Cricetulus griseus: one gene and its partners. The protein of the gene in region 4 binds, or shares a complex with, the protein of the main gene of each other region. Links are inferred from orthologs where the notes say so. Each region holds a gene or a part of one and is shown on either strand. Other genes may lie near its edges.

The links.
Region 1: probable global transcription activator SNF2L2 (region 4) and Smarcd2 share a complex: the UniProt entries of both Homo sapiens proteins name them as parts of the BAF complex. The link is inferred for Cricetulus griseus from reciprocal best matches to the Homo sapiens genes SMARCA2 and SMARCD2.
Region 2: probable global transcription activator SNF2L2 (region 4) and Phf10 share a complex: the UniProt entries of both Homo sapiens proteins name them as parts of the neural progenitors-specific chromatin remodeling complex. The link is inferred for Cricetulus griseus from reciprocal best matches to the Homo sapiens genes SMARCA2 and PHF10.
Region 3: probable global transcription activator SNF2L2 (region 4) and Dpf3 share a complex: the UniProt entries of both Homo sapiens proteins name them as parts of the BAF complex. The link is inferred for Cricetulus griseus from reciprocal best matches to the Homo sapiens genes SMARCA2 and DPF3.

Annotation. Positions count from the first base shown.
Region 1 is NC_048600.1:119,217,201-119,224,714, forward strand, and holds the start of Smarcd2 (SWI/SNF-related matrix-associated actin-dependent regulator of chromatin subfamily D member 2), read right to left. Parts: upstream 4,788-7,514; coding exon 4,572-4,787; intron 14-4,571; coding exon 1-13. UniProt on the Homo sapiens protein: Involved in transcriptional activation and repression of select genes by chromatin remodeling (alteration of DNA-nucleosome topology).
Region 2 is NC_048595.1:293,989,458-293,996,459, reverse strand, and holds the end of Phf10 (PHD finger protein 10), read left to right. Parts: intron 1-2,590; coding exon 2,591-2,699; intron 2,700-2,970; coding exon 2,971-3,159; intron 3,160-3,421; exon of another isoform or gene 3,422-4,134; coding exon 4,135-4,220; 3' UTR 4,221-4,329; downstream 4,330-7,002. Other genes in the region: C2H6orf120 (UPF0669 protein C6orf120 homolog), read right to left, coding at 5,091-5,648. UniProt on the Homo sapiens protein: Involved in transcription activity regulation by chromatin remodeling. Belongs to the neural progenitors-specific chromatin remodeling complex (npBAF complex) and is required for the proliferation of neural progenitors.
Region 3 is NC_048598.1:120,233,870-120,241,573, forward strand, and holds the start of Dpf3 (zinc finger protein DPF3), read left to right. Parts: upstream 1-3,038; 5' UTR 3,039-3,107; coding exon 3,108-3,139; intron 3,140-7,704. UniProt on the Homo sapiens protein: Belongs to the neuron-specific chromatin remodeling complex (nBAF complex).
Region 4 is NC_048596.1:34,602,946-34,609,961, reverse strand, and holds part of probable global transcription activator SNF2L2, read left to right. Parts: intron 1-3,104; coding exon 3,105-3,210; intron 3,211-3,612; coding exon 3,613-3,714; intron 3,715-6,013; coding exon 6,014-6,194; intron 6,195-7,016. UniProt on the Homo sapiens protein: ATPase involved in transcriptional activation and repression of select genes by chromatin remodeling (alteration of DNA-nucleosome topology).

The DNA of each region.
Region 1 (7,514 bases), on a different chromosome or scaffold from region 4:
ACATGCCAGGTCGCTGGGTAAAGTGGAACAGTGGGGGTGCACAGGTCAGTGGCAAAGCCCTACGAGGTCCATAGCCCATACCCTCCATCTCTCTCGAGCATGGGGAGACCTGCTGGAGACCAGGAACAAAGGGGAACAGGCGCCTGAGCCCAGCGTGTAAACCACACCTGCCCCGCCCCTGCAACCGCCCTGGCAGGCAGTGCCAACAAATGAGGCAGCCAGAGTCCATGGGTGGGAGGGGAGCACCACTTGCAGAAAGAAGGGCCTGGGGAATTTTTTAGGACTTATCACCCCTTCCCAGCTTCAATATGCCATGTCCTGCACCCTGGGGTGAGCCAGCTTTGAGCAATTTATTGTCTTTAGATGGGCCACTATATACTCCCTATTCCTTTCCCCATCCTGAAGAAAAAACATTACTTGGGTGATTAGGGGCAATGCATAGCAACCCAAGGGAGTACAGGAGTTATAACAGTCTGATGGGGTATGCATGTCTAGTGGCATGACTGGGGAAGAAAGGCAGTCAGTGGGGTGGCAAGCCATCAGGCAGCAGCACCCCAGGTGAGCAAGGACAATAGGATGGCTTGGCCATGTCACAGCTTGTGGAGATGGCCTCAGGAGAGTGCAGACACCATCTGGCCACCATATGGCCTCCACATAGCCGGGACCTGTCCTTCCCCCACCCTTCTCTCTCACACTCTTCCCTGCCACCATGCCCCTACCTATGTCAAAGGACTCCCAAAAGGGAAGTTATGGTTCTTGGGAGCCTGTGGGAATGAGAGCAGCAGACATCTGGATTCTGCCCATGGTCTAGGCACCACCTGGCAGCCAGGCTGCTGCTGGTTCAACTTAACCCTAGACATCCCAAGCTGCAGAATAAGACTGACCTGGGATGCAAGGGCTTAATAAGGGTCAACAGCAACAAGTAGCTTCTTGGTTTCTCATCCAAGGCCCTGTTCCCCAACATTTCTGGGAGCCCTCCACCTCCCAACTCCATTCACATGGCTGCTGCCTGAAAGGCCTGTTTGGCAGCTCTGCCTTGCACAGACTGTCCCTGGCAGCTTCACAGGGCTGGCCCCAGGGCCCAGGTTATGCAATCAATCAGTACAACCAGACAACCAGGCCAGCCTGGGTGGAGATTCACACCAAGTTAAAGGAGACCCCCCTCTCAGCATCCTGGAGATGAGTCTCTGCAATTTCTTTATCCAGCACTAAACCCATGTTCTCAACCACAGAAGGTCAGATTCATGACCAGTAGCAGAGACGGAGGGAAAGAAACATGACCCAGAGACAAGGAGCAGGGTGACAGGGAGGCATGTGGCAATTGAGGAGTTAAAAGTGGGAGACCCTGGGACCTCGGGAGTCCTGCCACAAGTCTCTCCTCATCAGGAAGAAATTCATCAAAGCTGTTGAAAGGCAAAAGCAGCCTGTTTCTCTGCCCTAATAAGCCAGAGCCAGAAATTAAAGGGGGGGGGAGGGTAGACAACAACTCAGGGTTGCCACAGCTGTAAGACCCTCCACCATCATCCAAGACTTCAGGTTTTCCTAGGGTAATTGCAGCTATAAGCTGGGGTGTTCAGTGCCCCCAAGCTCTTCACTGAAGTTCATAAAGCCTGTTCTACTGCTGAGCCCTCCAGGAAATCCCAAGTCGAAGCAGCCCAGGCAGGCCTGGAATAGGCCCCACCCAGACATCTGCTCCAGACTTCTGGGGCTCAGGCTCCAGGCCCCCAGCTCACCCAGAACCTCAGGGGAAGGCTGCTCACAATTCAAGTCCCAGTTCCCCCTGGCCAAGCTCCACACCTGAGCTTTGAAGAGCCAGAAACTCCTCCTTAAAAACTCAGGTTAGAAAACAAAACAAAGTCACAGCCATAGCCACAGCTTCACAGCCTCTGCCTGCTTGTCCTACCACAGGGGTAGGTGGGCCTGGTTCAGTCCCCTGGACCCCAAAATGCAGTAACTGCTTCTACTTGGCCAAACACCCCACACTCTAGACTTGATTCTGTAACCACCAAGGAGACAATGGAGAAGGCTAGGCCTGACTCTGCCATCTCTGGGTAGGAATCTAGGGCTCAAGTAAGCATGTTCTGCTCTGACCTAAAGCCTGTAGCTCTGGTCCTCAGATGGCTGCCTGGGCCTAAGAGCCTCATTTGGAGAACATACCCTGACCCTATGAACAGAAAGTATTCTAAACTCTGAGCTGAGTGAACTCAGCAATAATGCACAGTAGGTCTCTTTGTTTTGTTTTTAATTATGGTGTTAAGCCCTTCAGCTGACTGTACTCCAAGACTAGATAGAATAACCCTCTAGAGGTAGGTAGCTGGGCCATTACTTTTGTTTCAACAAGCTCCCCAATATGCCCAGCTTGAGCATGCAAATCCTCGCTCACCCCCAAGGGCTCTAACCAGGAGGAGCCCCTTTGTCTTCAGACCCCAAGCCCTTTTGAAGTTAGGTACCTGGACATGAAAAGAAGCAAGCAGTTTCTCCTTCAAAGTCAACCAGTGTTAACTGGATTCTCTTTACCCCACCTTTTCCTCTGCCCTTCCCCAGAGAAAGAAGAGGAGGGGAAGAAATGAGAAAGAAGAAGGTGGTGATGTCAACCTGGTTGGTATGGGATGTCCAGACTTAAGGCCATCTTCTTTCTCACACCTAGTAGCCACAGGTATTCAGCTGGCCAGCTTGGCCTCAACATAGACCCCAAGGCGCTACTCTTTACAAAATATGGAGGAATCCATCTTCCTATCCTCACAGGGGCTTTCCCAAGAGCAGATTTTCTATCAGCTGCATGCCAAAGAAACTGGTCTACATAGTGAGTTGGGGCAGCCAGGACTACACAGAAAGTCAGACAAAAAAAAAAAAAGCAAAGAGACAGATCTCCTCAGTGCCTATAGGAAGCTTCCAGATCAGTTCCAAGCAAACAGGGCCAAAGGCTACTAAAATCACTGACATCAGTGATACACTAGGCCCATGAATCTCCAAAGAAAGCAACATGGGAAAGATAAACCCCAACTAGTATCCTTGGGACCAAGTCTATCTCTGTTCATAGCCAAATTCTTCATTTTCTTTTGAGAGAGGAGAAATGAAGAGTTGGGGGGGGTCACTATCCCCACCCCCACTCCCAGTTAGGTACCTCCTTAGAAATCTGATTCCTGGTAGAATATGCACTCCATGAGGATCTATTTCTGAGGCCTCTACTCTACCTACAGACACCAGCAGAGGACAGAGCAAACTATAGTGCACACCTTCAGACATTAGTAACAAGGAAGCTGTGGCTCACAGGCTGAGATACCTATGGTCTTGTCAAGAACCCGGAGAACAAGTAAAAGCAAAGAGGTTGGGTGTGGTGGTGCATGGCTGTAATCCCAGCACGTGAGAGGCAGGAGGAGTTCAAGGCCAGCTTTTTTGGCTACACAGCCAGCCTGGGCTACATGAGACCCTGTATCAAAAAAAAAAAAAAAAAAAAAGGGGCAAGGATACTGGGAAAGGATGAACACAATCCCCAGGCACTCTGGGAAATGGGGTGCAGCTCTCTGATATAGCAATTGTCTGCCATGTGCAAAGCCTTGCCTGGGTTCCATGCTCAGCACCAAACTGCATTAAGTAAAACATAAAATCCTCAAAACATCCTGGAGCAACTTGCACCAGAGCATTGGGGAAGGAGCCCCACATGCCGGGTCAGGCTGAGTTCACAATGCACTGACCACAGAGTCGCACCCCCGTTCCTCAACGGGCCTTTGAAGCTGCAACCTGAGACTGACTGCTCTTTTTCCAGCTAGAAGGCTCAGGGCAGTGCCCTCTGAAGCAGCCGATGCTGCTGCAGACTCCTGCAGCCCCCGCCTAGCAGTATTCCACAAAGCCTCTCTGCTCCTCCAAACGTAACTACTGGACGCTGGCACTAAATGGAAAGCCCATGCTAGACCGTATCTGGACTAGTCTGTTACTGGGACTGGGCCTTCTTCAGACCTGGCCGCCGCTGCCACTAATCTAACCTGGAGCCATCTGGGCCCCCTCTCCTTAGTCCCCCCCATGGCGTAGGAAGCCAGGCTTCCTTCCCCCTCAACTAGCAGCTGGGAGCCATCTCAGACACTAACGCTCTGCCAGTTCCCAACTAGGGAAAAAAAAAAAGCCAAGGCAGAGTTGCAGTGGGACCGAGGCCAACGAAAGGATAACCCTGTTTTCTCTTCCAAAATTTTCTCACGTCTCGGGTCACCCCCGGACCCCGACTCCGGGACCTGCTTTAGACTCTTTCAACCCGATTGCACACAATTCTCCAGATCCCACGGAGCCTACATCTCTCAGTTACTCAGAAGCCGTGAGCCGCGGAGCCCCGGGACTCTTGTAACTGCTCGAGCGCTCCACCGGAGAGCCGCGCTCACCCTTTCCCCGACCCTGCCTGCCCCTCTCTCTCTAGCCGAGGGACCCCGGCCTGGCGCGCCACCAGCTCGCGGCAGTTCCTCCTGCAGCGTCCCCGGAGCCGCCCGTCCAGGGACGACTCCTGCCCGCCCTCACCTGCGGCCCCGGGGAGACCCAGCAGGCGCCCTCGCGGCGGCGCCCGCCCGCCCGCCCGCCCGCCTCACCTGGTACTGCGCCGCGGGGCCCGCGGGGCCCATGGGGCGGAAGGCGGCGGCCGCCGGGACCCCCATGCCTCCAGAAGGCCCCGGGCCTCTGAGCGCCGGGTTGGGCAGCATGCCGGGTCCCGCAGGCGGAGGAGGTGCACCCAGTGCCGCGGCAACGGCGCCGCCGCCGGGGCTTAGCGGGGGCAACGGGAACCCGCCCGCGCCACGGCCCGACATCGCTCTGTCCCGTCCCGCGGTGCAGCGATCCGGCCTCCGGGCTCTGTGTGGAGTCCGCTCCGCGAGCTGCGTTCCGCGATCCGGGACTTCGCGATTTTACTGCCGGGTTCCGGGGTTTTCTATTCCAAGTTCGCAAGTTCTTCACAGACCGACCCGCTTTAGGACCCGCGGCCCCACTGACTCCGCTCCTGCCGGGGAGACTCCAGATCCGGGATGTGCCGCAAGCCCGCCGGCCTCTCCCGGCCCCCGGAGGTTTCGCCGCCCGAGTCCAGTTACCCAGAGGCGGTTACGCGCTCCCGGCCCCGCCCAACCCGGGCCTGCGCCCGGCCCCGCCCCTTCCCAGCAGCCCAATCGAGACTATCTCTTCAAATCCCGCCCCTCGCGAGACCCGCCTCAAGCAGGCACCGCCCATAACTGACGGCCACAGAGCCCCGCCCTTTGGGACCGCCTCTTCCCGGAGGAGCCGGAGCGGAAGCTGCACGCGGAAGCGCTGGGAAAGGCGCGGGGTCAGAGCTCAAAGGTCACCGTCCTAGGTCCTCCGCGGTTAGGTGCTGGCCGCTCGCTCCTCAAGTGCGGCTCCCTCCGCGAGGTGCCGGGGGGGGGCACGCCTCCAAAACTGTCCTTCCGGGTCAGCCCTAAAGCCAGGCGACGGCCGCCGCTCACCCAGAGCCCTCGCCGGCGCCCGAGGGTGGGAGCCGGTGGGATAGGGCGCTGTCTGCCGTCGCCAGCACCCCGCCCCACACACACCCCAAGAAACCGCCAGGGACATGCGTGACTCCAGACGTGACCCCGCTGGGTAAAAGTTTGACTTGGCCCGGTGCGGAGGTTTTGTTTTGTTTGTTTTCCGAGACAAGCGTCTTGAGTGACAGCCCAGGCTGTGCAACTCCCCTTGTAGACCAGACTGGCTGTGACGCGCCGCAGTCTCCCTGCCCCTGCCTACCAAATGCCGAATCACAGGCGCGCACCGCCACCGTCGGCCCACAGAAAGTGAGTTTAGGTGAAGGAGTTTTGCATGCCGAGAAAACTCCAGGCAGTGAAGCAAGTTTTCTCCAGTTCATAGAGGACTTAGTTTTGAAGAGTTCCTGGCCTTTCCAGAAACCACTGGTTTCGGCTACGGAATGGACCGCCTACCCTCAGCTAATGTGGGATCTCCTCCCCACAGTACAGAATCGGTGCTGCTTAACTTTAATGAGCACTGAAAAATCCTCAGATTTGGGTTGGGGGATGTAGCTCAGGTTTAGAGTGCACTTGCCAAGCATGCATTAAGCCCTGGACTTGAACCCCGGACTAGATAAACAGTGCACGGTGGTGCATGCCGGTAATCCCATTACACATGAAGGAGTGGCAGGAGGGCCAGAAGTTCAGGGTCGTTCTCAACTGCATCACCAGTTGGGACTAGAGTTACAGGAGACCCTGTATCAAAAGAAAAGTCAAAATGTGAACCTTCTTGTTAAAATGTGGTTTGTGATTCAGTGAAGTGGGGTCAGGGCCTAAGATTCTTTATTTCTAGCAAGGTCCTTTTTAAAGAATTGCTGTTATTGTATGTGTGAGAGTGTTAGCAGGGTGTATGTGTACCGCCTGCTAGCCTGGTGCCTGTAGAGGATGTCAGAGCCCCTGCAGCCGGAGTTGCAGATGGTTGTGAGCCAGCCACCTTGTGGATGCTGGGAACCAAACGCCAGGAGCAGGAGCAGCCAGCGAGCACTCTTATTGGCCACCGCCTTGTTTTCATTCCCAACGCATTGCTTCCTTTATACTCTTCAGATCTTTTTTTTTTTCTTTTTTGAGATTAGAGTATCACTGTATAGCCTTCGATAGCCTGGGACTCCCTATGTAGACCAGGCTGGACTTTTTTTTTTTTTAAGATTTATTTATTATGTACACAGTGTTCTACACGACAGAAGAGGTAACCAGATCTCATCACTGATGGTTGTGAGCCACCATGTTGTTGCTGGGAATTGAACTCAGGCCCTCTGGAAAAGCAGGCAGTGCTTTTAACCTCTGAGCCATCTCTCCAGCCCCAGGCTGGACTCTTTAACTCGAAGAAATCATCTTCCAAGTGCTGGGATTAAAGGCCCGGATTCTAGTACACCCATCTCTCTTCCTATCTTTTTCTCTAGTGATAAACTCTGCTGCAGATCCTGCCTCTTGGCCATCTGAGACACTGCCTCCTTTCTCCCCAGAAGCTGTCAGTCTGGGAACAGGCCACTAAAATCATTAGTCACTGAATCATGGTTTCTCCCACGCCTGCAAGGTAGAAAGCTAGTGTCCATTTCTGCCCTTTTGTAACTGCAATAACTCTCCACGAAGAGCAAGGCGTGGTGGAGAATCAAGCTCCTCTGGGAAATTATTCCAAAGGATCCCTGCCAGCTTGCCCTTCATTCCAGAACAGTCTTTAAATGTAAAACACCAAGAGTACTGATACAGCACCCTCGGTAGAAAACTACCTCTGTGGGAAAGGCAGGTTAGGGTTATAAGTCCCAGGCCAGCTTGAGCTCTACAGCTAAACATTACTTTAAAAATGAGCCAGGAGTTGGTGGCGCCTGCCTTTGATCCCAGCACTCAGGAGGCAGAGGCAGGCAGATCTCAGGGTTTGAGGCCAGCCTGGTCTACCAAGCAAATTCCAGGACAACCAGGACTGTTACACAGAGAAATCCTGTCTCAAAAAACAAAAAAGACGTGCAATATCAGCCAGGAATGGGGGTACATGTCTTTAATCCCAAGGTAGGC
Region 2 (7,002 bases), on a different chromosome or scaffold from region 4:
GAGCCGCATATGCAAAATAAACATTTTATAATCTGTAAACATTTTTAATTACTAAAAATGTTTCAGGTATTTCAAAGATAGGAACAGCCAATATATAGATATTATATATTAATGTGAACGTGATTATTCAAAGTTAACCTCTCTATGAAAAGTATTAATGAGCCAAGATGTGCCTAATTATTAGGGTACTTCAAGTTGACACTCACAGACAACACACACACACACACACACCCCTTTAAAATAAGGGCGTTAAGAAACATGATAATGTATGTGATTTAATAAGATGGACTAGTGCTTGCCCTTTTCTTGTAGGTCAGTCTTGCTTAGGTTACATTAACCTGAAATTAAAGTGTAATTGTTAGGCTTCAGGCCTACACATATATAATTAAAATCTATACTATGTTAGTTTCAACTTATTTTGCTATTTTTCAAGAGAAGTAAGTATACATGAGCCTTTTATTTGAGATGCTGAGGGCTGTTGGCTGAAGAAAACTAAAAGGTTGTTGCAATTGTTTGAAGGAGGTCAGAGGGTTTCAAAGAGGCACAGGGCCTTCACCCATGATCTTCAAGAGACTTTTGCACCTTCTTTCTCTCCTTCAGTGTTGGTCTTCAGTTTGTCTGTGAGGCCCTGTGGTTTGTTAGAGCCTGCGTACTGACAAGAACAATGCGCTTTTGTATGTTGGACTGTAGTCACGGTAGAAAATGCTACAGTACCGTATCTCTTTCTCCCTCTTCTGCTGTAGTCTCTCCTCCGTCACTTTTCTTTCTTCCTCATCCTTCTTCCCCTCTCCCATTCTTTCTGTTTTTTGAATATTTTTCTTCTCAACAAGATGAAGATTATTGGGTAAGAAACAATTTTAAATGGTTTAACAGGAAATTATGTATAATTTTAAAGGTAAACCCTGAGTTTTCTTAGTGTCTTTTATTATAGGCATTGTGTGTATTTTAGTGACTGTAGAACTTGAATTGCTCTAGGATGTGAATAACTAGGTTTGTGTTTTATTCCTTTTGAGTTGCTGTGTAAAGAGTCTCCTGTGAGGAATTCTCTCTCCAAAATTTAATACTGTGTAGTTTCTTCCCTGACTTTAGTGAAAGACACTGGAGTACTTACTATGCCAGTGTCTAAGGGAACTCTAAGCATTAAGTAAGTTTATCTTTTACATTTAGTACAGGTTATTGAAAGTTCTTCCTGCATATTATGGCTGTTAAGATTCAGTCTTTGAAGTGAACTTCCTAGCTATTTTTCACTGAGAACCTGGACACAGTGAAGCCATGTGCTTAGGGTGCAGCAAGAGTAGCTGAGTAACAGCTGCTGTCAGATGCCGGGAGAGCAGGGTATAAAATACACAGAGGATGGAGAGCAGTCAATGGGGACATTTTATATGTTTGTTTAACTCCATGATATTTATTATTTTGTAGAGACATTTGTGATTGTTTAGATATTGTTTTTATCATATTTATGTATAAGGTTGACTTTTTTAAAAAAATAAATAAGCCAAAAATTGTTTTTGAATGCCTCTGTCATCTTTTGCAAAGAAAATATTTTTAAAAAAGTAAAAGCAAATTATTATTTAGGTTTGACAAGGTACGAAAGTGGCAGTGGAACATTTAAAGTGAGACTGCTTTATAAAAGTTTGAGTTTAGATCTCTATGGTGCATCAGGAAAGAGATGCAATGCGTTTGACTGTGTTAGATTATTGCCCTGCTACCATCTTTGTCCCTCCCACCTTTTAACCATTTATTGACGCACACCTATATATAGTACATGTGAGCAGCGTCCGTGACGGTCAAGATTATGATGCTCTGTTATCCCTTCCTTGCCCTGGCATTGTAAGTGTAGGAAACTCCTTATATTTTATCCCATTCCATGTTTAAAGCCCAAATACTGTGTGTGTTTTTAATGTGAAAGATAATACTCAAAATATGCTTTGTATATTTCCTATTTGACTATAGTTTTTCCATGCCCAAAAACTTTTTATGTTTTACACGTCACAGTGACTGCTTCTCTCTTTTATCATAGTTCTTTTTAGACATGGAACAAGACTATGCATCCAACTCAGATTTCTATAGACATTTATGCATGACAATGTATGGACAAGACAGCTTCCAATTAAAATACTGAAATAGTGTCTTTTTTTTTTTTAGCTTAGATTTTGTAGGCTTAGCTCTATCACTGGAAAAACACCAGTTTTTGAAATAAAATGAACATAAGCTTAATATAAGCTTAAAACTTAGGCTTAGCTTTATGTGTGGTTATTTGGTATATGGATTTTCTTTCCCAACTATTAGTGGCATTTGACATCCTATTTCATTTTTCCTTCTGGTCTTTTTTTATAGAGATGATGCTGTGTGTGTAGGGAGCAGAGTGCTACATTTAGGCAACACACGTTGATGCGGTTTATGGAGTACAGTCTAGGCTTTCATTAGTTGGGGGTTTTATATTCTGATCCATCTCATATCCAGTTATGTCTTACAAAAAGGTTTTCATTATCAGATTACCAAAAGTAAAGATAAGGTAATAACAGAATCCCTTTTGAACCCATAGTGAGTTCTTCTGGCATGAATTTATAGCCCTCTTCTACCCTTCCAGCCAAAGGTCATTCCAAATGCTCTATGTGGAATTTGTCTGAAGGGTAAGGAATCCAACAAGAAAGGAAAGGCTGAATCACTTATACACTGCTCCCAGTGTGATAACAGTGGTAAGTAGAGATGTCTCCTTAAGATTTTACCTCACCCCTGCATATTGCCTTAAAAGCTAGGGTTTGTAGTTATCAGCTAGGTATCCACCAAAGAGTCAGCAAATGAATAGTGACTTGTTAGCTGTAGTCAGAACCCATGTATCTGCTACTTTGTATTTTGATGTGTCTATGGTAACATTAATCCTGGCAGCCATTCTTGGGAACTAATGTTTTATGTGCCTTAAGTTGAAAGTTCTGTTGTGAAATCCTATTAATGTTGGTTTTGATTTAGGCCACCCTTCTTGCTTGGATATGACCATGGAGCTTGTTTCTATAATTAAGACCTACCCATGGCAGTGTATGGAATGTAAGACATGCATTATATGTGGACAGCCCCACCATGAAGAAGAAATGATGTTCTGTGATGTGTGTGACAGAGGTTATCATACTTTTTGTGTGGGCCTTGGTGCTATTCCATCAGGTAAAGATGAAAAAAATACAAAAAAGCCCATTATCTTGTGTGATGAAGATCTCCCAGCATTCTTTTAAGGCTGTATAAATGACATGAACATGTTCCAATTATGATCAAGCTGTTACTGTCCATGTCACAGCTACCTGATTTTCATCCTTAGTGCAACCAAAGGAGAATTGAAATAGAATACTTAGGTTAGGTTTGGAAGTATTGTCTGAGGGATAGAATGAGCTGGTGTTTTCTACTAAAATTGCTAAAGTAACACCACCAGTTTGTTTCAATGCTTTCATTTTATTTTTAAGTTCGTCTATTTAGAAACTTAACAAAGTGACTGCTATGCCTTTATATATATACTAAGACATCTTCCTATAAAGTGAGGCAGCATGACAATTCCAGAAAACTTTAGGATGGACACAGAATCAAATAGTAAATCACAGTAATCCTATTGAAACATTATACAGGTAATTGTGCAATTTTAAGGACTTAAGTTGCATAGTTAACACTGTATAGTTCTCTATAAAACTCAGTTTCCTGGAATCCCTCCGTAAGGATGTGAATAATCACTCAGGTTCTGCAGTAATTCAGCTCAAGTGTGTGGTGCAGGTGCTAGTGTCAGAACAGTGGAACAGGCCACACAAAGCCAGATCCATTAACAAGTTCTACATTAGGATTGTGTTGTTGAGGTTTTAAAAGCATGATGGTATTTGAATTTTAGGATTACATATTTTTTTAAGGTACAAATGATTGTTTTGTGCCCTTTCCCCATCTTGTCTGTGCATTGAATTCCGAATTGTATTGGTTACACTGATTAAGGGTTGTTTACATTTTCTCCCTTGGCTTAAGGAGCTCAGTACTTCCCTCCCCACTGAAAAAAATCCCAGAGAGTTATCACTATGGACAGCTCAGGAATGAGTTTAGGTGGTTTGTACTCAGTCCTATAAAAATAAAATTCCACTCCATATTAACTAACAATTTTTCTCCTAGGTCGCTGGATTTGTGACTGTTGTCAGCGAGCTCCCCCAACACCCAGGAAAGTGGGCAGAAGGGGAAAAAACAGCAAAGAGGGATAAAATAGGTTTTTGACCTGACCCTCAGTTTGGGATATCTGGTGCCATTTTATTTACACTTTCATTTTTATGCCAATAAAGAACCTTTTTTGAAATTAACTATGACCTTAAACATCTTCAAGTTGATTTATTTCATTAGTAGCAACTCATACCCTTGAAAGAAAAAGTCAGAGAGAAATGTCTCATTTCCCAGATTTTAATCTCTTAGTGCTGTCTTTTTCCAGAGATCAGCAGAAAGAGGTAGCAACTTAATTTGAAATATTTCTTCTTGAGTCTGAAAAGTTACAGTCTTTTGAGACTGTCTTGACCTGCTTAGGTAGTATCAGTTACTTAATAACCAGAGCACTCCAATCTGGCCAACAGAGGAAAGGACAGAGGGCCCAACCATCTGGTACAACTGGATTTGGAATAGTCACCAGCTGGCACAGCAACAATGTGTAAATGCTTGCCTGCCAGGAGAGTATCAGGTTCCACAATCCCTACTGTGCACAGTGGCTCTGGGAAGCTTTTCCGACCTGGCTTTAGAACCTCTTTAAAACTGCAAGTGCCGTACTCCATTTAGTATGTCTACAGAATACATTCTACAGTCACCAGCCTTTATCTGAGTTATACAGCCTGTTACTGCAATAATCTTCTTACTCACCTGACTAACCAAAATGTATTTAAACATTTTATTGAGCAGACTCCTTTTTATGGGAATTTTAATCTCTAAAATAATTGTGCTTGCTGCTTTTCCTGCGTGGGGAGTAAACTGAGGTAACAAAACTGTATGGCTTTATTTTTCCATCCTAGTCTAGAAAAAAAGTAACCAGAATTTCACCAGGTCAAGTAGCAAGGTCCACAGCAAACTAGTCGCTCCGTGCAGATAAGGATTCAGAAGAGAATTTCAAGCACCAGTTTCAAAATGCTAATCAATATCGTCCAGAGGACCGACTCCTCTTCTTGGGCTGCCTCCTCTGGCGCATAAGCTTGGTTCTGACTGGCTCCTGTGGGGTCAGCAGGATAGGCAGCCTCTCCGAATGGGTACTGGTCCACAGTTCTGTCAGAGTACACCCTCATCTCAAAGTCGCTTTCATGGTGTGACGGGTGTCCGTAAATTCCTATCCCCACCGGGCGCTGGAAGTGCGCGGGTATAGAGACCACGTCCTGGCCGCAGGTGGCCGACTGCAGCTCGTACTCGTCGAAGCTCGGGTGCAGAGTGCTGTCGGACACGTACAGGTCCGCATCCCCCCTGAGGCTCTGCATCCGGAGAATGATTTTACCCTCGTGGTTCAACCGCAAGTAGCTGTAATTCCCGGCTCCGATCTGGCCCTGGACCACGTGCAGAAGGAGCCACTCGTGCGGGACGTCGTCCTCTTCCAGGCCTTCTACCAGGGTCAGCACCCGGGACGCCAGGAGCACCCACAGGGCGCACCTCCAGGGAGCGGCCATGCCTCAGACTCTCAGCTCGGGGCCTCCCTCATCTGCGGCGGCCGCGCTGGGGAGGCACGGGCGGCAGGCTGGGCCGGAGGTGCTCGCCCAGGCCGACCGGGACGTGTGCAGCTGGGTCCCGGGAACCGACGACAGTGGGGAAGGGGAAGGGGATGGACAGCGAGCAGGGCTGAGGAGGGGAGCGGCCAGAGGGGCGGGAGGGCAGGCCCCTGAGGGCGCAGGCGTCCGGAACGGCGAAGCTGCGGACCCAGGACTCACCGCCACGCCACGCCCCGCCCGCAAGCCACGCAGCACCCGCAGCATCCGGGCTCAGCCTGGAACTCGCCCCGGCAGGCGGAAGAGAAGCGGCGCCCGGAAGTGTACCCCGGAAACGAGGGGCTTGCTTTTGGGAACGGACTCCGGCCTAGTGACCGGAAGCAGATCGGCGCCGAGCTCTCGCGAGAGGAGAGAAGGGCTGCGTAGCGTTCAGGGTCCGCTTCCTCGTAACCATGGTAACTCGGCGGCGGCTCGAGCTGCGGGTTCCGGAGCAGACGGGCGGGCAGGACAGCAGGTGAGGCCGCCAGGGGGCGCTCGCCGAGCCCAGGCCCGCGACCTTGCCTGCAGCCCAAGCCCCTTAGGGACTTAGAAGCCCCGTGGGTCCGGACGCAGGCAGCAGCATCTGGGGAGATACTCCGGGATTTGTCTTAAACCATGACGGAAAGAGGAAACATTTAAATTTCCGCGTGAGAACTATTAGTAAGAAATGGTGTTTTTTTTCCTCCTCCTGAGTCGGTTCCAGTTTATGTAACACCATAGACTTTAGCTTGTCAGTAACGTTTGTCGTCGTCCCCCCTCCCTTCCTCCTCCTCCCACCAATTCTTAAGGCCACATTTACTGTTTGGAGATTTTTCCTGGTTTATAGACGGATGGCCTCGGTGCCGGAAAGGCAAGCTGTTCCGGGGAGCACCGAATCTCATCAAGGAGGATCCACCCCCACTACCGGCTCACCTCCTATAGATAGTTGGTCCCTCCCAGCCTTAAGACCCTCACCTGGGAGGAGAGGATCCGGCGTAGAAATTTTGTGGGGGGGATACATTCAAGCTATGGTGGCACAAAAGGCCCAAAATTGGTGGCTTGAACAATGGTAGTTTGTTAAGTAGGCCAACAGAGCAGGGTACTCGTTATTTTTTTATAATAAAAGAGAGGCTCTATGGACCCATTTCATAATTTAGGAAAGAACTGAAGCCTTAGTAATATCCGGGTGTCATCTTGCATCGTTCTTGTACCTCTATTAACTGAGGTAGACAGATAGATGATATAGATAAATAGATAGGTAGATAGACAGACAGACAGACAGACAGACAGACAGATAGAC
Region 3 (7,704 bases), on a different chromosome or scaffold from region 4:
TCTGCAGATGGATGGGAATTGCATTTTGAGGGCTGTTACCATGCCTGGTTTGTTTGTTTATTTATCCATTTGTTTGGTTTGTCAAGACATGGTTTTTCTGGGTGTAGCTTTGCCTATCCTGAAACTTGCTCTGTAGACCGACAAGAGTGACATCAAACTCAGAGATCCACCTGTAGGATTAAAGGTGTGTGCCACCACTGCCTGGCTTTGCTGGCCACAGTTTAATGTTTCGCTTTCTTCAAAGGAAGTTTACTTCAGCTTAGTGCTTAGAACATACCAGAGCTCGTTGTGGATACCAGGAAACCGCTTACTGAGGTCACGGCTGCCTGTGCTGTGGATGAATGGAGAGATGGAAGGGGAACCTGCTCTTGCTTTTGATATAATCCTTCTAGTTCCCAGAGCCCTGGAGGAGCTTCGATCATTGAGGATGGCTTTTGCAGCACCTTTAGTTTGTTTTGGATGAGGGATGCTTCTTAGGACTGAGCCTAGGGCCTTGTGCATGCTAAGCAATCACTGTAGCACTTAGCTGTTTCCCTAATACTACTCTTACTTTGTCAAGGATTTATTTATTTGATTTATTTATTTTTATTTTATGTGTGTGGATGTTTTGCCTGCATATTATGTCTCTGTGCCTTGTGCAGTACCTATGGAAGTCATGGATACATGCATGTTTGTGTACCATGTGCATGTCTTGTGCCTGAATTGTTCAGGAGAGGGCATCAGATCCCCCTTGGAACTGTTGTTACATGGTGTATATCACTAAGTAGTTGCTGGGAGAAACAACATGTGCTCTCAACTACTAAACCCTCTCTAGTCCCTGAAATGTAACTAAAAAAATGTTTTGACATCACAATTAGTAAGAAGGGTTTTGGGTCTATGGAGCTATATCATGGAATTATTGATGTCATTGTTGTTCATTTGCTCTAATCAATGAGTTTCAGAAGTGGATAGTTATTGCTACATTCTATTGTCATCTTATTGGGATTCCCTATATTCTTTATGCCACCAGCTGACAAGTGATGGGCAGACAGGTGGATTTCACAGCCTATATTACTACTGTACAGCACAGCTAAAGACTAGACTTTAATTCTGGTCAAGTTTTTTTTAAGCGTGTTCACTCCAAGTCCCTTGTTTCTGAAGGTTCTGGCCCAAATCTGTGTCTTTTTTTATCTATGATACAAAAACCAAAGTTAGTAACATATCTTTTATTTCTCACAAGTAAAAAAAGTGACTATAACCAGGCAGTGGTGGTACATGCTTTTAATCCCAGTGCTAACCAGGCAGAGGCAGGCAGATCTCTGAGTTTGAGGCCAGCATTGTCTCCAGAGTTTCAGGACAGCTAAGGCTACAGAGAGAAACCCTGTGTCAAAATAAATAAATAAATAAATAATAAAAATAAAAAAAAGGACTCTAAAGTCAGACTTGAGGACTATAAAGTCAGACTTGTATTGACAGTTAAAATGACATTCCATCAAGCACAAAAAACAAGGCAATGCTATTTTTTTGGGGGCAGAGCCTTGAGACTGGGTTTCCTTATGTAGTCCAGGCTGGTTATGAACTTCAAGGAAGCGCCATCATGCCTGGCTCTCTCTATGTAGTTCATCAAAACCAGCTTTCGATACAGGAGACCCTGTAATGAGAGAAGGGGGTGGGGGAAAACAACACCCTACTAGGCAAACAAAGAGTTAAATATTTCCAGTCTGCACACACACGTACTCACTCAGCTTTGCTGGGCTTATCTGTAACTCTAATAGTGAATGGAGTTGGAATCTGAAAGTTCTGGACTGCTTTGTAGTTGTATTTTACTTTATTCATTGAGGGCAGTAAAAGGAAAAAGCAGGTGGAATTATGAACCAGCAGTTCAGCATCTCTCATTTTTTTTTCTTTTCGCCCCCCCCCCCCCGCCTCGCCATCCATTTGGCCGTATTAAACAGCTATGGGTCGGTAGCCAGGCTTCTACATGCTAACGACGCCTCTAAGTGCTTTCGCTCACTCTGAGCCTCCCTCCCTGTTCTCCGTGGAAGCCTGAGTTCGCAGAAGTCTCTCAGTTTCTTCAAGTGTTCGCCAGATTCTGAGCAGCAACAGACTCGGGAAGCCTCGAGTCACGTCGCAACATTGGCTTGAGAATTCTTTTTGCGTCCTATATTAGTCCAGAAAGGTGACGCCGGTATCCGCAGCGCCGTTCCCCGAGGGAACTCCAGCAACACCCACCTCAGGCTCTAACAATTTTGCTTCCTTAGCTGCGTTTGCTAAAGTTGCCTCAAATCTTCCCTATCCTTTTGCCAAAAGAGCGCCAGGTCTCCCTTTGCTCTCCAGCTGGCCCGTGTCAGATCATTGTGAATCGCTGACAGCGGAGAACGGTGTGGTCGTAGGGGACAGCGCAGAGTGACCACCCCTGAATTACGTAACAAAAAACCGTAGCAGCAGCAGAGGGCGAGCCTGACGCTGAGACATTCCAGGGGGAAGGGAGTTGCTGTCCTGGACTAGCCAGTTCCCAGAAACCGACAGGGGAAGGTGGCTGAGATAAAGAAAACACTTCGGGGACAAGAATATTCAACAGCCTCAGAACCTACAGCATTATTAACAATCGGTGAAACACGAGTAGCAATTTCTTGCAGGGAATTGCAGCCTTCCAACTTTTGCACTGAAATACGGGAGGTGTACCCGGAGCGGGGGTGGGGTGGGGAGGTAAAGACGGTGATATATGAAGTCCAAAGCTAATGAATGGGATTTAATGGTTTTGATGGCCCTATGTAAATATTCCTGCTCAGGAGCGCAAACTCTCTGCAGTTATTTAGTAAAGTAGGGGCTCAAACTAAGAGAGAATTCTCTCCCATGTGTGTCCACTAGCCCCAATCAGCAAGGGCGCTACTAACACTGTACTGCCCCTTTAAGACCTGCTCGCTCTCGGGCTCTACAAAAGGGAGTGACCTCTGGGCTTTGACAGCTCCCCTAATAACTACCACCACGTAGGCCCCGCCTACCTGGCGACCAGCCGCGGCGATTGGCCTGCAGGCCGGTATCCCGTGCTCTGATTGGCCTGCCGCTTCCCCTGAGCGAACCTTTAGAACTCTGAGACAGACAATATTCTGTTACATTGTAGCAAAATGGCGACTGTCATTCACAACCCCCTGAAAGCGTAAGTAAGACTAAAAAATGTACATATTCCGCGTGGTTTCAATATGAAAAAAAGGCGCCTTGCGGAGCGCAGCCGGCGCCCGGCTCTTGCAGACGCCTCCCGCTGCGCCCGGGCTCCTCTTTTCTTCTGCTCTTACTTCTTCATCTTTTTTTTTTTTTTTTCCTCCCAGCGCGCAGAAATGTCAGGAGATGCAATTAACAAAAAGAAAATTGTTACATCTGTGTTCTGCTTAATTGACTGACCCGGACCGGGAGGGAGCCCGGAGCGGCGGCGGCGGCTCCGGAGCTGCGGGGGTCTAGAGCAGCTCGGGCTGCACGGTCCCCGGAGTCCTCTGCCTCTCCCGGCACCTCGCGGGGCTGGCCGAGCCCGGTCGGAGCGCGGGGCAGGGGCCGCGTCGTGCGCTCCGCTGAGCCCTGAGCTTCAAGCCCGAGGCTTCCCAGCTCCGCGGCTCGTCGGTCCGCCCGGGCGGGCTGATCAACCGCTGCAGCTGCGGAGTTTGCTGGGCGTTCGCTCTGCCTTCCGAGCTCTCGCAGGGAGTTTGTGCAAACCTTCCGGAGTTGGGAGGACAGCGCGCGGAGCGGCGGGTCTCGGGAGTCCTGGGGCCCAGGTGCTAGCCCCGGGCTTTTCCACTCGAGCAGCCGGGGGATCAGGGAGGCGCTCCGGGCGGTCACCGGTGTGTCTGCGTATTTGTGGGCGAACTGGCGGTAGTAAATTAACGACCTGGATTAACTTGGGGGTTGATGTGGAGGCAGGGAAGCTGCAGGTCTTATGAATGGTGTGTTTGCCTGCTTTGGGTGAAAAGCCGAGGTAGGCGGAGGCGGTTCGGGGCTCTGGCGACAACGAGGGGCAGGTGCCTCCGGGAGACTTTGAGCGGACAGAGGGGGGCGGGCTGCGCGAGGATTCGCGGGGGCCGGTCCCCGGTCGGAGCTGCCTGCCTGCCTGCCTGCCTTCCTTCCTTCCTTCCTTCCTTCCTTCCTTCCTTCCTTCCTTCCTTCCTCCCTCCTTCCTCCCTTCCCTTCCTTCCTTCCCTTCCTTCCCTTTCTTCCTTCCCTTCCCTCCAGTCGGTGAACTGTGAATGTGAAGCCGCCAAGTCCGCGAGCGATCGTGGAGCCGCGGGTGGCCTCGGAAAACTAGTGTGGCTCTCAAGGGGCGCTATTGGCAGGGATGTTGGCAGAGGGTGGATCCCTGGGAATTGCTGCGCGGTGTGGGCTCCGGTCGGTGCCGGTTGTACTAGGACTTCCCCGCCCGGTGAAAGCCTCTGGGAGTAGGAGGGTGCGCGTGGGTGTTTCGTGCCAATTCTTCCCAATTTGTGGCGGTGGTCGACCCTGGCTCTTTTAACTGCCTGCTACAGCGTCCTAACCCGTGGAGTCAAAAACACGGTTCGCTTTGGAGAGCAGCAAGGCAGTGCGGGGGGGATTCCTAGTGCCAAGAAACGCCTAGGGAGAACCCGCTGCGTTTGCACCAGCTAGCAACCAGGAATAGGGCAGGGATGTCCCAGATCTCGGAGTTTCCACGAGATAATGCGGTAAAGAAGACACTGGAGGCTGAGCCTGATGCGAGTTCCTGGCTCCAGTTCTCGCTCGGAAGCTCAGCTACTTTGCACTCGCGACAGCATTTCACCTAAGAGAGAAAATGTTTTATGGCAGAATAAATGGGCGTAACTTCGCCGCGTCCTCGCCGACTCGCGCCGCCACACCGCTGATGCCAGGAGTTTCTCCAGAACCCACACAGCTGATTTGCAATTTCCTCATTTCCAGCCGAAATCACGTAGTCGAGCTGATGCTGCTTGGTAAACTGAAGTCTGAGAGTTCTATTTACTATGTGTATGGGGTTCCTTATTGGGAAAGCGGTCTCCTTGATGCCCGGGAGCGGGCTTACGCTCGGGCGCGCGCAGGAGCTCCACGCTCCAGGGTTCCCCAGATCGTTTCACTTTTTTTTTTTTTTTTTTTTTGACATAGAAGCCTGCGAGTGTAGGGGTAATGGGGGAAGGGACAGAGCAGCAAGAAGGTGGCCAATCTCGGTAGTGAAATTAGTTCTGAATTACACGTGTACTCCTTAATAATTGGAAACACCGTGGGATGCATTTGTAACTCCGTCTTGGCACACACACGTACACGGGAGCTCACACACATCACCACTGCCTGCCTTTCCTAGGAAGGAGTCAAGCCGTCACTTTGTAATTATCCGCCCCCTTTTGCATCCCATCCTCTCCCCCAACCCCTAGGGCTAAGGGTGTAAACAATAACCCCAACGGCCAAGGGTTTTGCAGCCTGGATATTTTAAAAACTCCGCACGCAGGAGCACACGCGTCGTTACTGGGAGACCGACGTCATCTGCTTCTATTATTATTATTATTATTTTTAAAAACTTGTTTAATAAAACATCTTGTATATTTCATTTGTTTTTAGAAGTTGCTGTTCAGGAAACAAAACACACGTGAATAAATTATGCATGGGCTAAATTAGAACAAAGCGCAGCGACACAGCAAGCCGAAGGGATGGATGGGGGCGCAGGGAGGAGGAGCAATGAGAATGGTTTGGAGAGCTTATGTGTTTATCCTTGTGTGCCCCTCCTGACAATGAACCGGAGCTCCAAACCGCATTAGCATTTTCTCCGTGTGCGTGCAGTCTCTCTCGTCTTAAAAAGGCAACACCACGGACGCCCCCTACAGAAACTGGTCACACAAAGATTTCCTCTTGGACTGCGGGATAAGTAGCAGTAGTTAGGGTATGGGGAAAAGCCAGCTCAGGTTTCTTTCATGCAATCTTGTGCAGGGCTCTGCCTTCTTAGACTATGGGTTACTTTTCATCTTGCTAGCCTTTTTTTTTTTTTTTTTTTTTTTTTTTTCCCATGTGGGGCATTCAATAATTCAATTCACTGGGTGACTGGATGGTTAACTTGAATGTCTTTGCTTTGCATAGGGTGGGGGTGGGGGTGGGGGTGGGGGTGGGGGTGGGGGTGTCTTCTGTAGGGTTCCAAGCGCCTGAAAACAGCCTTTCTTGGTAGTTTGCCTTTCTTCCTGGCTATCTTTAATCTCCCCTCAACTCCCCTTGTTGCTTTCACCCTTTCCTCTCTGAAGCTGACAGTCTGGCTTCTCCGTTGTAGCCTTTAACTTCTTGTTACTGCCCAACAGGGTGTGTTAGAGGCAGAAAGAGGAGCTGCCTGGACAGATTAGATCAGAAAGGAGACTCGGCAGGTGGCCCTACAACAAAGTGGTCACATCTGGACAAATATAATTCAAAAGCACGGATGGACATGTGTGGTGTGTAAATGTGTGTTGTGTGCTGTTTAAATTAGCAGCTACATTGTCTGAGTGCAGATTGTTGGAGTCATCCTCAATTTCTGTATACAGAGGTAAGGGCCACAGACGGATTTGAAAAAGGCATGTGTGTGTGAGAGTTACTATTGTATACTTGTTGATTTCTGTATACTTAGGAAATAAATGCTTAAATTAAAAAAAATACTTATTTTAGCTGGGCATGGTGGCACATGCCTTTAATTCCAGCACTTGGAAGCCAGAGGCAGGCAGGTCTCAGTGAGTTCGTGTCCAGACTAGCTACATAGTGAGTTCCAGGACATCCAGAGCTACATAGAGAGAACCTGTTAAAAAATTACTATTTTATGTGTGTATATTTTGATCTGGTGAGGTACTGTTACAAGTGCAAGTGTGTGTGTGTGTGTGTGTGTGTGTATGTATGTGTGTGTTGTCAGAGGACAACTTTGGAGTCATTTCTACTTCTATGAGTTGTGAGGATTGAACTCAGCTCAGACTTGGAAGCAAGCAAGGTTACTTGCTGAGCTATCTCTCCTTTCCTTATAATACTTTTTTTGTAAGTTCTAACCTTAATATTCTAGTTTAGGTAAATCACCTTCCCCCATGTCTGCCAACAGCACTTTAGACAGAGCAATCTCTCAGTGACTTCTCGAAACTCTGGCCATAAGCACTTAAACTGGGAATGCCTGCCACCTTCTGCCAGACTTGATCATGTACATATGTATCTATTTTTATAACTCCAAGCTCAGAGAGGAATAAATGCTATCATTACTTAATTACTCTAGTTAGGGCTTTAATACTTTAATTATTTGATTTTAAACAATGAGAAAAGCAAACTACTTAGTCATGTTTGTCACTATGATTCCATGTACACAGTTGCATCAAAACTTTACTTTGTAAAGAGTTACCCTAGCTTGGAGGTCAGTGCTGTTATTTATGCTTTATTATTAAGGACATAACTCTGAGAGAAGTAAATGTTTACTTAGTCGAGATCCAACATGGCTCATGTGTATAGATGGACCCCAAGTTTTCATCTTCCTATCTGTTCTCTGATGTGGATGATGTGTGTTCTAATCTAAAGTGGGTTTGGGGCACATGAAAGTTAGAAGCCAGACCTTACTCTTGCCGTGGTAGCCAGTTTAGCTATCAGAGAGGAAGGGCCAGGGGGCCACATTCCTGGTGCTAATCTTGTCTTGGCTATTTTCGTTGGGGAGGGGGTGGTGAGTAGGGTTGGGGCTTTGTGAACTTGCAGCCTTTTATGGACATTATTTTAGTCCTTTGTGGAAAAGTA
Region 4 (7,016 bases):
CTTCAACAGAAACAGGCCACCTTCTCCAAACCATTCTATAATTAGTTCATTTTTCAGGTGACTTTATTTTTTGTTTGTTTAAACCTATACTTTTTTTGGGGGGTAGGGGTCCGTTAACTGTTGCAGTCCTTCCAAAACTGTTCTGTTATCCCAGTGCATTTTATAGGTCTTCAAGTGTTAAACATTCTCCAGGTCACATGAAAACCCCAGCTGCCCAAGCCTAGATCTCACGTTCCTGGGCTGCCACCAAGCCATTGCCCTGGAAGGGAAGACAGGGCAAGATTGAACAATAGAGCATGCTGGAATCCTGTGGGAAGGAGAGAGGATTCTGAGAAGGGTGGTTCGGAAAGTTAAACACAAGTAATATTCAGGTGACAGGACTCCACTTTCATGGAGAATGGGTCTTGATTGTGGGAGGGTTATAAACTGTTTGAAGGGGGATGGATTTCAACCAGAACTAGCAATACCTGTAATCCTAGGCAGAAGGACTGCCATGGGTTTGGGTGTCCTCGGGCTTTGGAGTGGATTCTATCTCACCGCCTCTAGCACCAGATACAAGAAACCAGTCTCTCTCTCTCTCTCTCTCTTCTCTCTCTCTCTCTCTTCTCTCTCTCTCTCTCTCTCTCTCTCTCTCTCTCTCTCTCTCTCTCTCTCTCTCTCTCCTCTCTCTCTCTCTCTCTCTCTCTCTCTCTCTCTCTCTCTCTCTCTCTCTCTCTCACACACACACACACACACACACACACACACACACACAGGGATTTTCCCAAAGAGAAAGAGACTGTTCTGCTGGACAGAGAAGCTGTTAGTAAAACAACTGGGGCATTTGGCCACACCCTGGAGGGCTTGGTCACCAGACAAAGGTGTGTATAGGAAGGTAGAAGCCTCTCGGTGGCTGGAAGACAACTTCCTTGGATGGCTTCCCCTTCATCCTTGTGCTTCATTCTCTCTTTGGGGCAGGGGGACAGAAAAAGCAGGAAGGGGAGTCTACTCCAAAGGGGCTTTACTTTTTAAGTAAAAAAAAAAAAAAAGATAAATTTATTCTCATTTTATAGTTCCGACACCAACTCTGGAGACATTCAGTTCTCTTATGAGCATGGCTGACTCTGGACTTGTCTCCCTAGTGGACCTAGGGCCTGCAGGTTTGACAGGACAGAGGAGGCAGGCACAGGTGACCTTTGTGGCTTTGTGCTCTCAGAGTTATAGTGTATTCTGGGGTCTAGTCCATGGTGTTTAATTCTTACTTCCCAGGCGCACAGGTGAAATCAGGAGTCTGTCCATCACCAGCGTGCAGAGCAAAGATGTGCTTGTAATTTGTCAATAGAAAAATGATACCATCTGTTGGAGATGTAGAAAATGACATTGAAGATGTCACTGAGGGTCAGGTATTAAAGCCAGGACTACAGGAAGGTCTGGTGTGTGGACTGATGCCAGATTTTGAAGAATGTTAATTTTAAAGAAAACACTCAGAATTAGAGAGAGAGACAGAGAGATGGGGTGGGGTGGGGGGGATCGGGTGGGGTGGGGCGGGGCTTTTTTTGGTGCCATTCAGATATTCTTTTTAAAACAGGTTAAATGTGAGTTATGAGTTTATACATTCCAAAATAGCAGGAAAATATGGACCTATGTTGGAATTGATTGTACATAAGAAACTGTGCTATAGCCTGCTGGGAATGGAAGGGTAGAGAACACCTTGGTTCTCACCGCAGTAATCCAAGAATCTAATTTCCTAGCCTTCAGTAGTCTTGTTTTTAAACCTCTTGTGTTTGTCCCCAATGTTGTATTCATGAGGCCCCTCCATGCATTAAAAATAAAACAAAACAGTGACCCTCTATGGCCGAAAAACTTGCCCATCCTTTGACTATCGGCGGTTAATTTATGCAGGCCCCTTTGCACTTCAGCTTTTCCCCCACTGGTTGCTAGGCAACCGCTTGAGTTACTGCGCATGCCTCTTTTATGATAACTGTCATTATGATTATTTTTTAATTATACAACTGGGACTGTGGATTAAAACAGCATATTGTCACTCATGCCTTGCCACTGCCTCTGAGCGTTCCCGAACACTGGTGCAGTCACCTTCCAAAATTTACATGCCAGGGGTTTATGATTATCTTTTGATGTTTCTGGCGTCACAAAGGAACCAGAGATGCCATCAAAAGGGCAGCGAGATTTTTTGTGGAAAATGACTAGACCATCTATCATAAGCTGTTATTGATTTAGAGAGGCCAAATCAGGCACTGGGGTCTTGAACCTCAATTATCCTTCTTTGTGGCTTTAACTGTGCCTGCTCCCAGCCTTAAGTGATGTGAAAACCGTGTTGCTCTGCAGCCTGCTCTTCCGAGTGACAGAACGCTAAAGCATTTCTCTCCTAAACCTGCTTTCAATAAACCCACCATTCTTTGGGGGGAGGGTACAGCACAGACTCTATAAACATGCAGCGTGCACGCATTAGCAATTGTCTCTCTCTCTCTCTCTCTCTCTCTCTCTCTCTCTCTCTCTCTCTCTCTCTCTCGCCTGAATTGCCAAATTGCTCCACACACATAAGTGCATTTAGGGGACGTGAAGGGGCTCCTCGGGCAAGGGATAATAGAAGGGACTCATGACTTGTAGAACACTGTAAAAGGAATGAGACAGGAAGGGCTGGAGAGAGCATACAACAGCTTCACATTTGCATTGCTCTGTATATTTTAACATATTTTCTAAATACACAGTGAGTTTGAAGACAAAGGAACGTGGGAGTCATGTCTGTGTGCTTTCTTTTAACCAACTCTGTTATTCATTTAAAATGGGACTTGGGGCTCAATAAGTTATTTTAAATATTTCTGTCATGATGAAAAGAGATTACCTCCTGACAGGGGAGTCCACAGAGTCCTTGCCACATCGTGTGCCTGTGACAGAAATGGGGACCTAACTGAGCGTTCATGTGATTTGAAGCCCTCCCAATGGGCATCAGCCTCCAATGCAGTGGTGGGCGTTTCCTCCATGTGCAGAGCCCCCATGCCTGTATCCGTGGGACCTCCTTTGCTTTGTTGACAGTCTCTGAAACGACCCTTTCCCTGAGGAGTGCTTTATCTGCTTTGTTTCTGTTTGTCTCCCCCATCCTGCAGTTCAGGGCGACAGCTCAGTGAAGTCTTCATTCAGTTACCTTCCAGGAAAGAGTTACCAGAATACTATGAATTAATTAGGAAGCCAGTGGATTTCAAAAAGATAAAGGTAGATACTGTGTTCACTGTTATTCTTCGAGTAAACAAAGGAGATGCATGGATGCTCGGGAGTGACGCTAGCTGGGGCTGGGGTCGTGGCCTCCTGGTTGCTAACCACTGACCTACACAAGTGCTTGCCCCAGGAAAGGTGGGGATGGGCTGACCTTGATCCTTTCCATGCATGTTATTTGATCACCGAAAGCTCAGATTATATACATTGCATGTTGTTGAGAACCCGCCTCTCCCTTGTGTGCACCTTCCTCCCCAGCCCTCGGAACACTGGTGGGAGGGTCTCGCAGTCCCACGCACTCAGCAAGGCTGAGTGCTGTGAAGACAAAGGGACATCGGGGCCTTCTTCAACAATAAGGACAGTTACATATTTCTCTTCTGTTTTGTTCAAAATTCCCATCAGGAAAGAATTCGTAATCACAAGTACCGGAGCCTGGGTGACCTGGAGAAAGATGTCATGCTTCTCTGTCACAATGCACAGACATTCAACTTGGAGGGATCCCAGGTATGTGTCAAGTTGTCTGAGAAGTGTCTAACCTGACCCATGCTGAGGTTCTCGGAAGTGGAGCATTTCCGTTTCGTTTCTACTTTTGGAACCATTGCCTCCACCCCAGCAGAGCACTGAAAACCGAAAGGCCTTGTTCTCTACTGTCAGTGTGAATAAAGGGAGGTTTTTTTGTGCGATATCTGGGTGGGCTTCTTCTCACACTTCCTTCAAGGCTCATCTTCCCATTAGAGGAAGAGTTCAAGAAAGCCATTGAAGGTAATGCTAGAAGGCTGGGTACCATCTGTGTACTTACAGAGACTGTATGCAGTGACAGCTTCATTTTTCTAACTTTAACTTTACACGAAGAGTTCAAAGTACAATGATTTAAAACAGAATAGGGGGTGCCTCTAATTGTTACTTTAAAAAAAATTCTTGACATTCCCTTCTCCACAGTCAGGAAGTCATTGTACATAACAGTGAATTTATGAGCATAAGGAGGAGGACATTTCCACTTTAATTACAACTCAATTCTACTTACCTTTGGTGGGAACTGATTTTTTTTTTCCCTATCTATCTTTCTGGCCTGATGCTCCCATATCCAGTAAAAGAGAAGGAGCAGGACAGGTCAAGTTACACAGAGATCCTGCATGTAGCATGTTGTCTAGCAGAGTCCACTTTCACAGCTGGGGATTGACAGTGATGTCTCCACCCATCTCTCCACCTTGGCCTCTCACCTTTCTCCTGTGCATGCTTGTCTCCCCGCAGCCAGCTTGTCCTCACCCTAACTTGTCAGCTCAGATCTCTGGCAGATTTTTTTCCCCCATTCCACAGTGTTATCCTTCTTGTTCCCTGCTTGTCATCACCATTTCCCTCAGGCTGACCTGCCACTTCCTTGACGATGTGGGTCATCTCCATGGCAAAAGAATTTAATCCCAGAGGGCAAAGGCCCATTTATTTATTCATCGCCCTTGAATGGTGGTCAGAAGACAACATAAACTTTACCACCTTAACATTTTTTTTTTCTCTTTTTTGAGACAGGGTTTCTCTGTGTAGCTTTGGAGCCTGTCCTGGAACTCCATCTGGAGACCAAGCTGGCCTCAAATTAACAGAGATCTGCCTGCCTCTGCCTCCCGAGTGCTGGGATTAAAGGCTTGCGCCACCACTCCCTGGCACCTTAACTGTTTTTTAAGGGTGGAGTTCAGTAGTGGTAAGGCTGCTCTCATGGGTGCTTAACAGGTCTCTGGTAGTATTTCATCTCTTAGAAATGACGAAGGCCTAAGCCTTTAGCAGTTCTCCCCTACCCCGGTTCCTATAACCACCTACTTTGTGTGAGTTTGACATGAGTGGGATTGCTTGGTGTCCATCTTTTGGTGACTGGCTTCCTAGGGTTCCTTTGTGTTGTAGAAAGTAACAGGAGGTACTTCCTCCCAAAAGCTGAGTCCTAGTCACTGCATCTGCCATGTTTTCTTTAGTCACTGATCTGTCTACAGATCTTTGAGTTCCCTCTGAATTCTTGGCTACGGTGCCTCTCCGGAACATGGGCATGTGGAGGAGATTTATTTCCTCAAGACTCTGTTTCTACTTATTTTGGGTATATATATCCAGAAGCGATGGTGGTTTTATCTTAATTTTTTGAGGGAAAGGACTATGTTTAGGTAGACTTCCTGTTTCTTTCAGTGGTGTTTCCTCTCAGCAGGGGAGGGTGCACAGTGTATTAGGTGACTTTTGGCTGCAATGAAGCTCGGCAACAGGGAACAACCCTGTAAAGGGTTCCTTTGCCACAGTATTTAAGAGAACCGCTTAAATAAGCGTGATTTAAAATATTGATTTTGTTGTCAAAGATACTGCCTTCTGCACCCATAGGTCCCAACACATTCTTTTGAGTTTGGCTCAGTGTGTTTGGTCTTCCTTGGAGTATCTTTGTGCCTGTATTTAGATTTTCTGTTTTATGCCGGGGTGGGGGGGGGTAGGGAGAGGGGGAGCGTGTGCTCAATGTTTAAAGCATTTGCCGCCTAAGTATGAGGACCAGTTTAGATTTCCAGAATGTGGGTAGGTTTAGGGGCTAGCCTGTAATTCTAGCAGATAGATATCCTGCCTCCATGACTAATCTAAAGAGTGACTGAGGAAGATTCCTGACGTCCACATGCATGGCCACCCACATAGGAACAAACACACTGTATACATAGGGGGAGAAAGCAATAGTAACATCATGGGTACATGTGTGTGGTATGTGTGTGTTGTCTAAGGAGGTGCATACAACAATTGCGGGTCTGCGGGCCTTGGGGTATAGTTAACAGTTGACACTTTGACCGTTTAGATCTATGAAGACTCCATTGTCCTACAGTCAGTATTTAAGAGTGCTCGGCAGAAAATCGCCAAAGAAGAGGAGAGTGAGGAAGAAAGCAATGAAGAGGAGGAGGAAGATGATGAAGAGGAGTCTGAGTCAGAGGGTAAGACCCTGCATCTGGCCCCTTCCACCTATCGGGCTATTTCCACAGGTACTAAAGGCATGAACACTTGCCCCGCTCATGCCCAGTTTTCTCCGCTGTTGAAATTGAGCACATCAGCCACAGAGCTCAGGACTGCCTAGGTTCATTGAGAATACTCTGCCCTCGTTGCCTTTGGATGTTGGCATAACCCTGGTGTGCATGCCACCTGTCACTCCTTAGCACTGTAGCCTGTAAACCTCCGATCTGGCTGAAGTCTTCTTGAAAGTGCATTTGGCAGCCTTAGAATGTGCTGTGTGGCTGCTACCAACATGGCTTGACAGTGGCTTTGCTTGTTGCAGTGCCCATCACTGGGGGACTGGTTAAATCAGTCATAGAATAAATCATGCATGGGAATATTTCCGATGTTGAAAAGAATTAAGCTATATGTGTGAGCTAACACATATTGCTAACTCCTGTGTGTAAGTAAAGAAAGAGCAAGGCATGGACAATGGGTGTGCCTGAAGAGCCATGTAATAACAAAATAAAACTTCAAATGTGTCTCTGTGTGTGTGCACACACACACCTATACTTACTTGGATTCTTGGTATGATAGCCTACAGAATTTATTTATGGTTATTAAGTATGCTTTTTTTTTTTTTTCTGGAGATAATCGCTAGAGAGCCACAAAGCTAGGTAAAGGAAGCATGTTGACATTTTTTATTTCCATTTTGTTCTCTTTCTACATTAAAAATGCTACTCAAACTACTAGAATTTTTAAGCTAAATAGAGCAATTTACACAGTGGAATCATCCTTTTTTAACCTTTGTAAGATTTGTTAATAGTTAATGTGTTTTTTTTTTTTTTAATTTGGTCACTACCCCGTTGAGCCAT